Linked DNA regions of Diceros bicornis minor. The protein of the gene in region 2 purifies or fractionates together with the protein of the main gene of each other region. This does not show direct contact. Links are inferred from orthologs where the notes say so. Each region holds a gene or a part of one and is shown on either strand. Other genes may lie near its edges.

Region 1 (7,964 bases), on a different chromosome or scaffold from region 2:
TGCAGCCCAGGGCTCACCAGTTCGGATCCTGGGCAGGGACCTACAGACTGCTCATCAAGCCACACTGAAGTGGCATCCCACATAGAGCAATTAGAAGGATGCAAATCTATGACCTACAACTATCTACTGGGGCTTTGGGGAGAAAAAAGGAAAAAAGGAGGAAGATTGGCCACAGAGGTTAGCTCCATGTATTAAAAAAAAAATACATGGCAATTGTGGAAAATTTAGAAAATATTGAAAAGTATAAAGCAATGAAAAACTACCCATCATTTGACCATCCAGTGATAGCCCCCAAAATACATGCATGTTTTGTATTTTCTTTTCATCTTTATGTATATGTGTTTATAAAACCTCAACTTTTCTTTTACCTATCATATCATGAGTATTTTCCCGTGTGACTAAACATTCCCTAATACTACGAGTTTTGGTGGCAGAACAGTAGCCATTGTATGGATGTATTATTTAACCACTCTCCTATTATTGGACAACTGGGTTATTTTCAATTTTATTTTATGTATATATGAAAAATATATATTTCCTAGAGAGAGAATTATCTATCATTTTAAAAGGTTATTTACATTTTTAGCCTTCTTCATACTTATCGTCAAAGTATCCTCCTCAAAAGTTATACAAGTATACACAACCATCACCAGTGGAGAAAAGTTAAGGCACGAAGAGCTGGCATTGGTCTCAGCACTATTTTTACATATTTTATTTACAAGTCAACCTCCAGAGGGTATTCCCTTGTGACCCATGCACAGTTCATTTGAACGTTGTGTGTGCCCCACAGCCTAGTACCATTAATGCTTTTGTCATCACGTCAACAGCAATTGGCTCAGAACTCTGCTCATTGTGATGCTGGTGAAGTGGCCTCCTTAACGTTCTTAAAGATAGTTGGGTGTAACGGCCTCAGTGCAGGACTTTTCTCTTAACCTTTCCTATCATGTTAAGAGTGAGAATTCAAACACTGTACAGTTTAAGCTACAGTATGCCTGGCCTATAACTTGGCTCAAGACATTTATATTTACGTCATTTTTGTCTGCTTATTATACTAACAAGGTGGAAAAAGCAGTTCCAGTTCTCCCAAAAGGTAAAATTCTGGTTTTTTGTATATTACTAGAGTTTTTAAAAATAGGTTACAAAAATTACAGTACATTTAGGAATAAGTGCACATTGAGAATTTTGAGATATTTCATGAAGAACACATTTAAATCCAAACAAATATAAAATTTAATTTCTTAAGAACTGGGGTGGGAAATAGTACAAAAATAGAATATTAAGTTTTTTTCTTAAGACATTATTTTAATTTATGCAAAAAGTATATGTCATTTAAATTACATATTTTTTATCACAAAAGGAATGAACAGAATATCTTTTCTCCTGTCTCTTAATCTTTTGAGTCAAAATGATTCGAATTTTTTTCTGATCTCAGTTGAAGCTTCTATTTGTTATATTTTCTCAGTGGCATTTTTTTTTTTTTTTTTTGGAAGTGAGGCTTAAAGCAGTTGGCATTAATAAAAAAATAAAAAGATTAAAAACGTGAAATGTTTTAGATGACAATAATTATATTTTATGTTTCTATTGATACAGATTTAATACTAGGTGGACGATTAATGAATATCAAAACAGTCACTTTAAATTGAATAATCTAACCCTAGAGAAGAGTGTACTCCCCTTATAAAAAATTATTTTTACTCATTCTCGTGCTTTTTCTGTGGCCCAATATCACTTAGTAATTTGATTCTGATTTTACAGAAATGGAATAGTCTATGAATATTTTCCAATCAAAGTGAATAAAATATTGTCTAAAATACTCTAGATCCCTTCATTTCAAGCTCTCCCTGACGTTTTGGCCGAATAACTGAATACAGATATTTCTTTTGCCGTGTCTTCCTGTGAACATTGCCCCAGTGATAGCTTCATATTTCTCTCATCTCATCATTCGGAAGCTATTTATCCACTTTTTTCCACTGCCTCCTTCAAAATTCCCCCTCCCCCATCGTTGAATGCCTGTTCAGCCCCCACACATTCAGACACATTTATTCCCGTAAAGATAGTGACACTTATGGTTTATTCTAAGACTGAATCTGTGTTGCCCAGTGACTAAGGACTTAAGCATGCACACTGCTTCTACGCTTACCCTCCTACCTAACTTGACTACTCAACTTTTTATTTCTTTCCCTCAGATTCTCTGTTTTGGCACAGTTCAGTTAACACACCACTGCCAGGCCACTAATTGATTTCTGAAACCTGACATTTGTTTTTTGTTTTCTCCTATCTTCACTAATGGTACAGCACTACTAAGCAGGAAGGAATGCAAAGAACTAGAAAGTTCAAAGTAATTGAGGATCTGTCCATTCACACTGTCTGGCATCACGCCAATGTAGAACCTGGAACATTTGAAAAATATTTATCAAGTTTTAACCCTTTTTGCTAAGTCGATGAAGCAGGTTTGCAGCTGTGGCATTTGTGTTCGCAGCAACAGCAAGTCAGCTTGGTTGAACATGTTCTTTATATGTTCAGAACCCCATGGCAAATGTCTCAGAAAAGGATTACTTTCCAATTTCCGTACTATTGTACAGTGCTAAGCTAGTTATTTTCTAAGATTGCACAGTTGGGCATTTGAGAGAAACCATTACTTAAAAATGGCAGCCCTATTTCATGAATTTTTACGTCAGAAATGAAATTTAAATAAATGCTACTCTATTTGAGCAAAAAAAATTGTATTCAGCTTTTCTATTGTAAATTTGTTGCGAGCTCAGCCTTAGCTAGGTTCATATCTATATTTATTAAGAAAAGTAGAAATGTGAAAAAAATTAACAGGATTATAAAAATTTTGTTAACCATTTGTGAAATAGTTGGGTTCCCCTCCCACTGGGAAAGCTTTTGTAAATGAAAGCATGTTAAAAAAATGGCGTGAAATATAGAAACATCTCCAGTAAAATAACTATATTTTATTACATTGAAAACTTAGGTTGAAATAACAGGCCACTGATGCTCTGGTACAAAGAAAGACAAAAGGAAAGGTCTAGGAAGGCTTAAAAGCAAATAAAAATATAAATAAATACCAAATTGTATTAAATCTAGATTAGATTTAAAGTTAGAATACAAAAGTTCTATTAAGAGTTATCTATATCACACTCAGGTTCGATCATGTTATCAGCATTAAATAACTAAAACCTTTCAAAGTTCAATTTTCAAAAAAGTTATATTAAATCCCATACCAATTCTACAACCTGTTTCTAAGTTATTTAATTACATAATTGGCTTCAATATTAGAGAAAATCAGGACAGCTTTTTAAAGGTGAAGGTGGATAGTATGGAATTGTTTGCTTAGAAAAAAATTTGCAAAAACACTTACGAAATAGTACTTTGGAAACATCAAAGTACTCATCAACCATTATCTGAAAGCAGTGATCACAGCTATAAAAATGAATCATTTATTAACAAGAAGGGAATGAAAAGGAGAAAAAAATATATTTTACAGCACAATTTTATGTTTTCTAATAATAAATACCTCTCATACTTTATGTGTATACTAATTTTTTTAATCTACACACTGAAATGAGATCCATACCTTTGATAGACCCACTCTGAAGTGAACGTTTTTCTAAGAACTCGTTTTTTTAAAGCTGTTTTACTGTGAAATGATGAGTAGGCTGTTGTATTGTAAAATTGTCTAATAGGATAGTGTGCTGTCAACCTATATACATATGTAGTAATATTACAGGCATTTTTATTGCAGTTTCTTGTTCCGGCTTCCCAAAAAGCCAGATAAAATCATGTACAAGACTATTAAGGATTAAGGGAAGTGGTTTCCTTAGGTGATTGCTGGCAAAAATTCACCTTCCTATTATAACATAATAAATGGACGGTAATATATTTGGCTATTACTTTCCTACAAATTTGGGTTCCTAGTTTTCAGAGCTGCTGCGTGTCTAATATTTGTGGCTTCTTTGGTTCTCTTTTCGTAGGAAAAGGTATTAGGTAAATGTGCTACGTTTCTGTTTTGTAAATAGCAAACTCCATTTTTTGAACTTACAGTGCTAACAAAAATAAGTCAAAGATGTAATGTCTATTTAAATACATTTGATCTAGTCGTTAGTGCTTAAATTAGATTCCATGCTTCGGCTAGAATCAACAGGGTAAATATTAAAAACTTCAAAATTCGTATGGCCCATCCCCCTTCCCTCCACACACAGATATGAGTTAGAAATGTGTGTCAAAACTTCTAACCATTTAAATACTGTAGGAAAAAACAAGCTTTTATGCAAAGACAAAAAAATCTTGCCATTAAACCTTTTATTCAAGACATTCCGAATTTTCTTTGCTAAATGGACATGTTCACTGCTAAAGATACATAGAGACAAGAGCTGTTTTTAAATTTGTTTATCACACCGCCCCTAGTTTTCCGCTAAAGAAAAGTACATTTTGTATATTTAAAAATACCCACTCATTAAACAAGTTTCTAAAAACCTTAGCGCCCCCACCTAGCTGCCTTCTGGGTTTCAGCTTTTGAGTTTCAGGTCCTTGCACAACACCTAAGACGTGCAAAACTCTTTTTCTCCCTAATCCTGTCAGAGAACAGTCCGAAGAGATCTCCCTCCACGTCTCCACCCTAATTCCCTCTCTTCCTAGATTCCACCCGCTTCTCCCGGTCCCTCCGCCCCCGGCTCCGCCAGCCCAATCTGTCACAGAAGTTGTGTACAAACTGCGCGGCCGCCCTGAGCGCGAAGCTCGTGGCCCAAGAGGGGTGCGGTCGGCCCGGCGGAGGCGGGGCCCTGGGCGAACTCCTCCCTTCTCATAGGCTAGCCCCTCCGGCCCGGCCGGCCTCGGGGCCTCGCGATTGGCCGCAGGGCTGCCAGTTTGGTTGGCGGGCCCCGCCCACTCGGAGTTGGGTAAAATACAGGCGGGCGTCAAGTGTCAGTAGTCGTGGGGCAGGTAGGCGCGCTCGCAGCTCGCTCGCGGAGACCGGCGGTGGCGGGAGCGGGCTCCGGCGAGTGAGAGCGCGCGGTGGGGCGGGGCGGGGCGGGAGAAAGTGGCCGCCCGGAGGACGTTGGCGTTTACGCGTGGCGGAGCGGAAGAGTTTTGCTTTTTGTGCGCGCCTTCGAAACCCGCGCCTGTTGTTGCCTGAGGGGTCCGCCCGGAGCCTCCCCTCCTCCGCCCGCGGCCCCGCTCCGAGCTCGCCGGCCCGAGCCAGCGTGGGCGAGGTGGGAAGCGCGCTCGACCCGCGCCCCGCGCCCGGAGCCGCCCCCCGAGTGCCCATGGCTACGCGGGTCCTCACCATGAGCGCCCGCCTGGGACCCGTGCCCCAGCCGCCGGCCCCGCAGGACGAGCCGGTGTTCGCGCAGCTCAAGCCCGTGCTGGGCGCTGCGAACCCGGCCCGCGACGCGGCGCTCTTCCCCGGCGACGAGCTGAAGCACCCGCACCACCACCCGCAGGCGCAGCCCGCGCCCCCGCAGCCGCCGCCCGCCGCGGGCCCGCGGCTGCCCCCCGAGGAGCTGGTCCAGGTAGGCAGAGCGGCTCGCCTCCCTCCGCCTCCCTCCCGGGGCTCGGGCGTGTCCCGCCGCTGCGACGCGCGGGCGACAGGGGCCGCTCCAGGCTGGGGCGTGCGTCGGGGCGCACCGGGAGCCCCAGTGCGGTGGGCAGCCCCGCCCTGCCCTCCGAGGCTGGGCACCGGTGTTTCCTGGGGAGAAAGTCGGGGGCCCCGAGGGAGGGTGTCCAAGATGAATCTGCCCTGGCCGGTCCGTCCGGGAATGGTTGAAGAAGGAACTAGGTGCTCACGCGCACCTTGGTTGTTTTTCTTATATTTGGAGGATGAAGCCTCGTACCTCACGCCCAACTTTACTTAAATTCCGCCTTTCCCCGTAATCCGCCGCTCCTTCCAGTGCCATGGCCTTGGAGGTCACCCTATCCCGCGTCGTCTCGGGTTAAGTGGAAATGCAAATCGGGGTGCTGGGGTGAGGCCCCTCCGGGCGCTAGTTTCATACCCCTTGGTTCAACCTGTTTTAGACGCGATCGGGCGCTGCCTTTGGGAGACGGGAGTTAGAAAAGCTAAGGTTGTATTGGAGGGCTTATCTTCCCTTAAAAAGAAAGACAAAAAAAGACCAGGGCTGTTGTTTTCTTCATGTGCGCGTAAATTTCCTCCCGGAGCCGCGTTGAAAGCTGGCAGTTGGCTTTTACACTTGCCCGGCAGCCGAATTAGAGCAACCGCCTGTTTCTTTCGCCCACGCAGGGAGTCATATAGCCCAGAAAAAACTTCCCGGGACTTTTAGCCTGTACCAAGGAAAAAAAAAAGTTGGAAACATACCCACATGCAAACAGCTGGAAGAGCTAAAATCAGAAACCACTAACCACCACGGGAGCGAAGTGCATGAAGGGGTTTAGTTCGGTTTATTTCAAGACGCTTCATTTAATAGCCCCTTGGTATATTGTGTGTTGGCTACCCAGCTCCTACTCCGGGGGTCTGCGAGTGTCGCCGTGCTGTGAAAGGGCCAGGGGCATTTGTCAGAGATGTGACTCACATGACTAGAGCGATAATTTTTATTTTTAAATCGTGGCTATCCGGGAAACCCCGTCTGCATCCACACCGAATGATACGAGGTCCGATATGAAACACTTTTGAAATTAAGTAGTAGCAAAAAATGACTGCATTATTCACCGATTAAGATGCTACCGTTAATAGTTCTATGAGCCTTCTAGTTGGTGGGTTTTTTTTCTTTTGAAATTTCCTTTTCAGTGTTAAAAATCTATGTTAGACTAGGAGAGAAAATAGCTGTAAAAAGACTCAGGAGACTAGTTACAAGCTGGATTATGTCCTTAAAAAATCACTGTTTGGAAACGATTTGGTTATTTCAGTTTGTCAGTTTTCTGCTTAGGAGACACCAAGAGGGTAAGGGATGACTGAGCTTTTTACAGAGTAGGGGGGAATGTAGCATTGGCTCACTGAGGAGGACGTGATAAATGTTTTGCTGATGACTGTGCTAGCCGTTCTGCAGCCTCTCCCCACCCACAGGCCCCTTAGCACCAGTCTACCAAGGGAGTGATTTTCCCCTAGGTAATTAAAGATCTGTTTTAGATAGGGATATGAATAGGAACATTTCATTATCATATTAACCAATTACAGAATCTGCTGATTAAAATCAACATTTAGATCGAATGTCGAGTGTGAAGTTGTTTTGTTCTTTCAGTGGATACTATATTTTGCTCAAAACATTGTATTTAAGTTTCCATTGAACCATAAACGAGAAAAGACGCCAAAATAGCCGTGGAATGTTTTATATTAGATATTTCAGCAATATCTATCCAGGCAAAAAAAAAACTGCCATATTATTAAGATTTGCATAGTTTTTTTAAAAAAAAGTTAAACTCGCCTATATGGCATGAACAGAATCAAGGTAGTTTGGCGATATTACAATACTGTACTTGAGTTCTAAACGTAACTGAGTAATCGGGCAGGGAATCTTGCTTGTACGTGAGTAATAATAAAATATACTTTATTATTGCATCGGAAAGGAATATGTTTTCTGTTTGCTTCCTTTCTTTCTTGATTTTCCTCTTTCACTTTTTGTTTGGGGTTGATTGTGGGAGCAATTTTACCAAGTACAGGTTATACAGTTTCATAAGGTTTTGGTGAACTAGTTATTACACAATTGGCAAATAAACCTGATATGTTTATAAGCAACGCTTAGAAGGAGTTGGCCCTAGTACATTTCACACGGATTGTTGGGGGAATTTTTGGTAAGGACCCTTTTGTATGTCCTTCCTGAAATGATGAATCGGATGGATTATGCATGTTTGTATCTCTTCTTTTTTAGACAAGATGTGAAATGGAGAAGTATCTGACACCTCAGCTTCCTCCAGTTTCTATAATTCCAGAGCATAAAAAGTATAGACGAGACAGTGCCTCAGTCGTAGACCAGTTCTTCACTGACAGTGAAGGGCTGCCTTACAGTATCAACATG
Region 2 (7,265 bases):
TCTGAATGTCATACTCCCCCTCACACTCCTTTATTAGAGCATTCATTCCCTCTGAAGGTAATTTGCAAGTGGAAAACAGTTCTATACCTAGAAGCTTGGAAAGTGTCTGGGGCTATAAGGGTTAACAAGCATAATTGCAAAGATTGTCCGAAGGCTGATGGAAAGCAGAGACTGAATGGGATTGAGAACAGATGCGAGGCTTGATTTAAATTACATTTTATTGGATGCTGCAGCCTTAAGAGACGTGACTGCTTTACAGTTTGTTTCCACACTGTGGGCAGCTGCTGTCTGTTCTGTGTCCACAGTAGGATCCTGCCCAAAAAGGAGCGGCCTCCCCACCTCGTTGTGTTTGAGGCTTGGCGCCTTCCTCTTAACTTTAGGGCTTGAGTCAGGAACATGGCTTGACTCGCAGTGGGGCTGCTATGTATCCTCCATGGCTCTGAGCCAAGATTGCATTTGCAGATCCAAGGGGCCAAATTTTTTTCCCCTCTACCTCCCTTCTCTCCCTTTCCCCGGGTATTTGGAAATAGGGTTTTCTGTGTACTGGTTTGTCAGTTTCCTTTCCTTCAGTTCTCTCCCCACCGTCAATTTCTAGGTCATTGCTGCTCTTAAGACTTCAGCAATTGGAACAGGGTTGGTTCTGTCAATGATGCGTGAAGCAGACTTAGAGTCCCTGCTTGGCTTCCGCTGCCCTTGTGGGAGCAAAAGCTGATGTATGTTTGTCAGTGAAGTCTTAAGTGTAATTCAAACAGCCGAGGAGCAGATTGAGGGGAGGAAGAAAATCCTTTTCTTGCTGAAGCTGAGAGCTATGGGAAGGTGCTGGGATTTTTAGTGGGATGGGATGGGTTTGTGGTTACTAGTTTTTGCCAGGATCATAGGCTGTTTCACATAGAGTAGTGGCAAAAGATGCTGACCTACATTCTTCCTTTTGAAGGTGGTGGGGTGTGTGTCTATATCCTGGTTTATTTATTTTTCTTCAGAGAAGCAGATTAAGCTTCCATAGAGCGTTGGTGGGTATTGCCATGGAAAGAACATAGACACAATAAAATTGGTGTGAGTTTCAACCCCAGAGCTACCGCTGACATTTCTGGCTCAATGAAGACTTGCCTGTGGCTAGATAACTGGCAAGAGTGTGTGAGGTCCAAGCTACCCAGAGATCAAAAAATGTTGGCAGAGCTCTGTTCTCTCTTCCCCACTTTGGTCCCTGCCTTTATTAAGTGCCCTTTTAAGATACACCAATAAGAACTGGGAAGTAGGAATGAGACACGACTTGGAGATTTTTAAAAATATGTTTTGAGAGGTGTTACCTTGACTGTGGAGGAAGACCAAAAGAGAGAGCCAAGATTGAGATTTTATTTACATTTGTGTCTGTCTCCAGCACTTAGTGCAGAGCCCAGTACCTGGTAGGTATTCAGTAAGCAATTGTTGAATGAACAGAAATGAACCAAGTTGCTGCCGTTCCTTCCGTCTTGAGGACAGTTCTGATCTGGAGGTAAACATGGCTGATGCTTTTGCACTGACGTAGAACAGGCCCCTGTAAAAGAAGGGTGCTCCATCTTACAAAATGTGGAGGATTTATTGGCCTCACATATGCGTTCCAATCGCTCCCTCTGATGTAGTGGTATTTTGCTTAAGGCAACTTCCATGTTGCTCCCAGGAAGCCTTGCCTATGGGGAGAGTCCTACCTACCAGGTGGGAGGAGGGGTACCTGTCTGGATGTTACCTATGTCCCTAGAGATTGGCCAGAAGCTGTGCCTCTAGGTGGCAAGGGATTAAGAAGGAACCCACCTTTGATGTCCCACATTTTCACTTTTGGGGAAAGTTGTAATCTTGGGTTCCTCCTAAAAAGATAAGGTGCTCTCTAAGACATTCTCTTTTAAGCTACCGACAGAGGCAGGTCTCCCTCTTCTCAGAAGAAAGGCTTCTGTAGGGGAGAAGGCGTGACCTCTGGCCTCTTCTTCATTTTTAACCCCAACCCCAAGGTACTGGCAGTAGAAGCTAACTGGGTGCAAGGGGCCTGGGTAAAGGCTGTCTGAAGACTGGCGAAAGGAGAGAGCCAGCTCCTTTTTTAAAAAGCTCTAATTGAGTTCTGAATCAGCCTCACTCCCTTTGATCCCTCCTCTGTTTCCCACACTGCCTGAAACAGCTAGATCAGCATTTTATAACAAGGGTGCGCCTGCTCCCCGCACCCGCCCCCCCTCCTGACGCTCTCTGCTGCCGCCATCCACTGCTTGTCTCCTTCAGTTAAGATAATGAAGATGCTGAGAGATAAAATGTGTATTTAATAAGGGTGGGGGTAGGGAGGCAGAAAGGGGCAGCCAGGGCCTTCCCTAGTTTGGGGCCTAGCCAAGACTCAAGCTGAAAGCAAAGCTAGAGTAAAACTTGGCCAAAGGGTGTGGGGGTTTCTGGGCCTCAATCCAGCTGACTTCACTGCCTGCTGTTTGCCCTAAATTCCCCCACCTCCAGCCTCTCACCCCCACACTCCTTTCTTTCCTCTCTTCATCCTCCCAGTGGGAAAAGGGAGACTTGCTTCAACTTTATTTTCAGCTGGTAACTTGGCCTTTGGTGCAGCACCCCCCAACCCAGAGTCAGTTGCAAGGTCAGCTAGGGCAGCCCCCACTGGCCTAGGGCTGTAGAAGCTGTGGGTTCACAGTGGGGGGTGAAAAAAGCTAGAGTTAATGAAGACCAGCTGTTAGTCTGGGTTCTGCCTACAGTTAGCTGGAGACCAGCCGTTGGTTGTTGGAGGTACGAGGGTACGTGACCTCCATCCCTGGGCACAAGGATATCCTGTGGCAGCTGAGGATTGTGCTGCTCTGAGCTTGGTTGTATCCTTAGTTTGTAAGAGAGTAGTCTGTTTCCCTCTTTCCTTGCTCCTCCCTTCCCCAAATAACACTCAGCCCTTATTGAGCTTTATAACTGTAGTGGTGGCTCAGCTGAGATCTGAGGATCTCCAAGCTCTTGTAAACACTCATTAACTGCCTGGGAAGAACCAAGAGCCCGGTGTAACAGCTGGGAGGGAACTGAGGCACATTAGGGTGAAAGGCTTGACCTGAGCTCATCCCATGGACTCCACCCTGAGGCCCTTGTCCTTCTGTACTATCTAGCTTCTTTCCCCATTTTTCTTGCAAGACAGAGAAGAAGGTGGAGGCAATGCTACTGCCCTCTCCCCTTCTAGGAAGAGGCCATGCTTTCTCCCTTCCCTCAAGTCTGTCCCTGACTTCCCCTGGCCCTTTACCCCATGACGTTTTCCCTGCTCTGCTGCTGCGGGAGATATGTGCAACTCTCCTTGCAAAATGTTCTCAATCCAGCCCCCTGCAGCCTTCCTATCCACCTTTCCCTGGCCCACCTGGCCCACCAAACCTGAGTTCTCCCTTTGGAGCTACTGAGAAGATCGGCTATCCTAAACTGGCTCTGTAACCTTGAAGTTGATCTAAGTGTGTTAAGAGGCCCCTCTGCCCCCTATATTTATCCCAAATGGTACCTGGGAAAACATTCTCTTTAGATTGTTCATCCTGGTAAAGTTTCAGGATGGGCTGAGTAGGGCCACTAGTTGACCCCTAGATTCTGCACCTCGTTCTTCCACTGACAATTGCCATTTCTGGTAATGGATGGAGCTCAGTCACCCAGCCCCACCTGCTCACACTCTCACTGTATATGCATAATCTGCATACCTCAACACTCCCAGATACACCTCAGCCTAAGGGTATAAAACAGCAGTTTCCAACTGCCATCCAAATTATACTGCCCTTTTTACTTACTGGAAATCAAGGGGTGGCCTTCTTGGCATTTAGGAATAGTGGGGAGGGATGAGGAGACTGCTACATCTACGAGGGATAGGGTAGAAATGAGCACCCTTCCAAAATGAATGCCCCCTTCCCCAAATTCTCCATAGCTAAGTGGCTTAGCTGGAGTGATAGGGAAAGAGATCTTAACCCCATCTTCAGCACCAAAGCCCAAATCCATCTGCTTGGGGCAGGCAGGAAGAAATGTCTTTTTTCTCCTGTACTGTATTATCCTATCCTCAGCTAAAGTCATCCATGTGCTGTGTATTTGAGATTGGGGACTGTTCCTGTCTCCAGCCCATGACTCAGATTTTCTCTCAGTCTTTCTCCCAGTGAATTCTTTCTCTCCCATCAGTCCTCAGCTCTGCACCCGATGACCCAGTCGGGGCTGGTGGAAGAGGGCGGGGAGAGCTTACTGTGTGGTGACTGGGCTTTAGGACCCAACGGGAACCTGAGCCTCTTGCAGCAGCCTAACCCAGAAGCAGAGGGGAATCCTGAATCGAGCTGAGAGGGCTTCCCCGGTTCTCCTGGGAACCCCATTGCCCTCATGCCAGCACGCACCTGGCAGGACCACAGGTAGGACCACACACACCCCTTCCCAATTCTCCCTCGGCTGCTTGCCGCCGGGCCTCTTCGCTTCCGATCTGGTCGTTTCCCTCTCGCCAGTTGAGGCTTTCCCCGTCCCTCCTCCCCCACCGCTCACTGTAGTCCTGGGAGGTGGGAGCCTGGGAACAGTGGGGTGTCTGAAACTCAGAGCCCCTGCACCCTCCAGCGCCTTTCCTGCACTTCCCCCGAGGCATTCCCTGTTCTCTGGCTAAGAATAGAAAGTGAGGGGAAGGTCTGCTCAGGCCTCACGCCCTTGCACCCTCCTTTGCAGTATTGCCTAATACCCCTTCCCCCACCTCACCTCGACAGGAGAATTGGCAGTGCTGGGGTAATAGAGAACAGAGGGAGCAGGAGAGGGACCTGAGCCCCCCTGGGGGATTTCTCTCTTGCTTCCTCTCTGCCTCCCAAGCCCAAGAACTCAGGACTTCACCCCCTCCTCCCTACTCACCTTGTAGGGGAACTAACGTCCCTTTCCAGGCTCATCTCACACTTGGGTGGCCAAAGCCTTTGCTGGAGAATGGTGGAGGTTGTGAGCGGTTTTTGGTGACCTTTTCCTCTGGGGAAAGTTCTTTCAGCTTAGAGCCCCCATCCCTGCCAACACCTCAACGCCTGTAGGAAAGTCCTCCACCTGCCCCCCCACCCCCTGTGTGTTTGTGTGTGTGTGTGTGTTTGTGTGTGTGTGTGTGTGTGTGTACCATATACTTGTAAGATCTATAAGCTTTGGATAGAGGTGGCTGCGTGCATTGAAGGGGAGAGATCCCAGAGTCTGGCCAAGGCCAGAACAGGCTCAGCCCAGATGGCTGGGAATGGGGGTGTGGACCACATCCAGAAGGCCACCCAGCCATGCCAGCAACCTGGGCTCCTCGGCTTTCAGAGCCTCAGGCTCATGGTGTTACCCTGAAGCTTCTGCCCTCCTGCAGGCTCTCGGGGAGAGGGCTGGATGGCACCTACTGTTTACAGTGGCTTGTTTCTCTCTCCAGCGGGGGACTGACAAGCCCTGCTCTCTGAAGATCTAGGGCACCTCATTATGGTTTGGTGGGTTTGCAGGATTAGTGTATGAGTAACTCTGTGTGTGAGTGTGTATATTGCCTCTGGGTGTAGCGGACTGGGGAGGGGAGTGATAGAAGAGACTGGAAACACTTTGGGGGAACCCCTTTAGCTCTCTGTGTGTTGGAGGTGGGTGCCATGTCCCTATCTGGTAACTCTGTCTAGGTGTGGGGTTGGTTTGGAGGAAAGGGTGGAGATTGGAGTAATTTCAGACTTAGTTCTGCTCTTGACCCAGGGAGAAAAGTAGAGATTCTGAGTGCAAGCAGTGGACTGAGAATCAGAGGCCTGAATTTGAGACTCAGCCCTGTCATTTAACTATGTGCATTTATACAGGTCTCTAAGCCTCTGTTTCTTTACTTGTAAAAATGATGATCAGTAACAAGCCCCGCTTGCCTGGTAGAGATAATGCTATCAAGATGCCTTAAGACAGTATATTGTAAAGCCCAGTGCAAATGGTAGTTATGGCTGGAGTGCAGAGGGTGGGGAGGGTTCTAGGATGGGATTCTCTTCCTAAATCTAGGTCAGTCTCTCTGCCTTCAGTTTCCTTCCCCCATCCTTGCCCATCTGGGGAATGGAGGAACCAGGCAGGGCTGTTGCCCCAGGGTTCTGCAGAATTCCCCTAATGCCAGTTGTAGCTGATGCCAGAGCGCCTGTGGTCAGAGAGGACAGATCTCTCTACCAGGCTTTTCTTCCTCTGGGGCTCCACACCTTCTCCCCCAAGCCCTGTCTCCACCTTCCTTCTGCCATTCCTGCTCCACGTCCTTGTCCCTGTCTCTCCCCTGCCCAGTGGCCTCCTTGTCCGGCTCACTGGGCAGGAGCCCTAATCGGATTCGACAGCTGAGATGTGTGTGGCGGCTGAGAGCAGGCGGGAGGGAAGCCAGTGGGAGGATGGTATGAGGGCTGCCCCTGGCACTGCCCAGGCCTCCCAGGCACCACCTTGGGCCTGCTGACTCCCGGTTTGGCTTGGCCCTGGGGAAGGGGTGCCAGAAGAAGCTCAGGAATGAAGGGGCTGGGGTCTGAAGATTAGGGGAGTGGGAAACACACCCAGGACCCCAGGACCTCTTGGATATTTGGTGGCCTTAATGTCAGTATCTCTGACTCTGACAGGGAGGAGAGGACAGCAGGTGAGAGCCAGGCTACCCCCCCTGCCCCCCCCCCCCCCCCCCGCCATCCCCATGGCACCACTTTCTTCTCTCTTCTTATTCAGAAATGTGTTCCCTTTCCCCATCCAGCCCCTTTGGCCAGTTCTCCTTATGGGGCTCGTCTGGGAGCTGCTAGGGGCACCATGTGTCTACCTCACTTGGGCTGTTTCCTCCCCTCCAAGGTATTTCTCTCACTCACTCTCTGGGCTGGGTGCCAGGACTCCTGGGTTTCCTGCCTGCCTCATGGTGCAGGGCTGCCCTGCAGGCCTCCAGAGAGTCGCTAAGCTGGTTTCCTTCCTCCTGTATGAGGAGGGCCTTCTCCCAGGGCTGGGAGGTGTCAGGAATCCCAGGTGGGATAAGGGTGGGTGCACTGTAGCCCCTGGCACCATAGCACCCTGATCCTTCCCTCCTAGCCTCTGACTCAGCTTGGAGGCAGCACATGCCCAGCCTGGCAGGCATGGCCTGTTCTCACCTTCAGGCTTCCATCTTTACATGTGGAAGCCAAGATTTTCTGCTATCCTTTTTAGCTTTTTCCCCATGGTATCTGGGGGTGGCTCTCAAAATCCCTATGTCTGCACCCACACATTTTGGGGAGCAGGGGATTAGCATAATTAAAGCTGGGGCACTATTTTGTCTTCCCTCCAGCTGGGCCAGGGTGAAGGAAACCAGCACAAACTTCCCCGTGCCA

The links. Proteins that work in one complex are often made in the same cells at the same time.
Region 1: the proteins of RARA (region 2) and KLF5 purify together in Homo sapiens (affinity purification with western blotting; 4 studies listed by BioGRID). This does not show direct contact. The link is inferred for Diceros bicornis minor from reciprocal best matches to the Homo sapiens genes RARA and KLF5.

What each region holds. Positions count from the first base shown.
Region 1 is NC_080748.1:53,134,639-53,142,602, forward strand, and holds the start of KLF5 (Krueppel-like factor 5), read left to right. Parts: upstream 1-4,946; 5' UTR 4,947-5,264; coding exon 5,265-5,510; intron 5,511-7,817; coding exon 7,818-7,964. UniProt on the Homo sapiens protein: Transcription factor that binds to GC box promoter elements. Activates the transcription of these genes.
Region 2 is NC_080757.1:39,814,853-39,822,117, forward strand, and holds the start of RARA (retinoic acid receptor alpha), read left to right. Parts: upstream 1-4,254; 5' UTR 4,255-4,358; intron 4,359-7,265. UniProt on the Homo sapiens protein: Receptor for retinoic acid. Retinoic acid receptors bind as heterodimers to their target response elements in response to their ligands, all-trans or 9-cis retinoic acid, and regulate gene expression in various biological processes.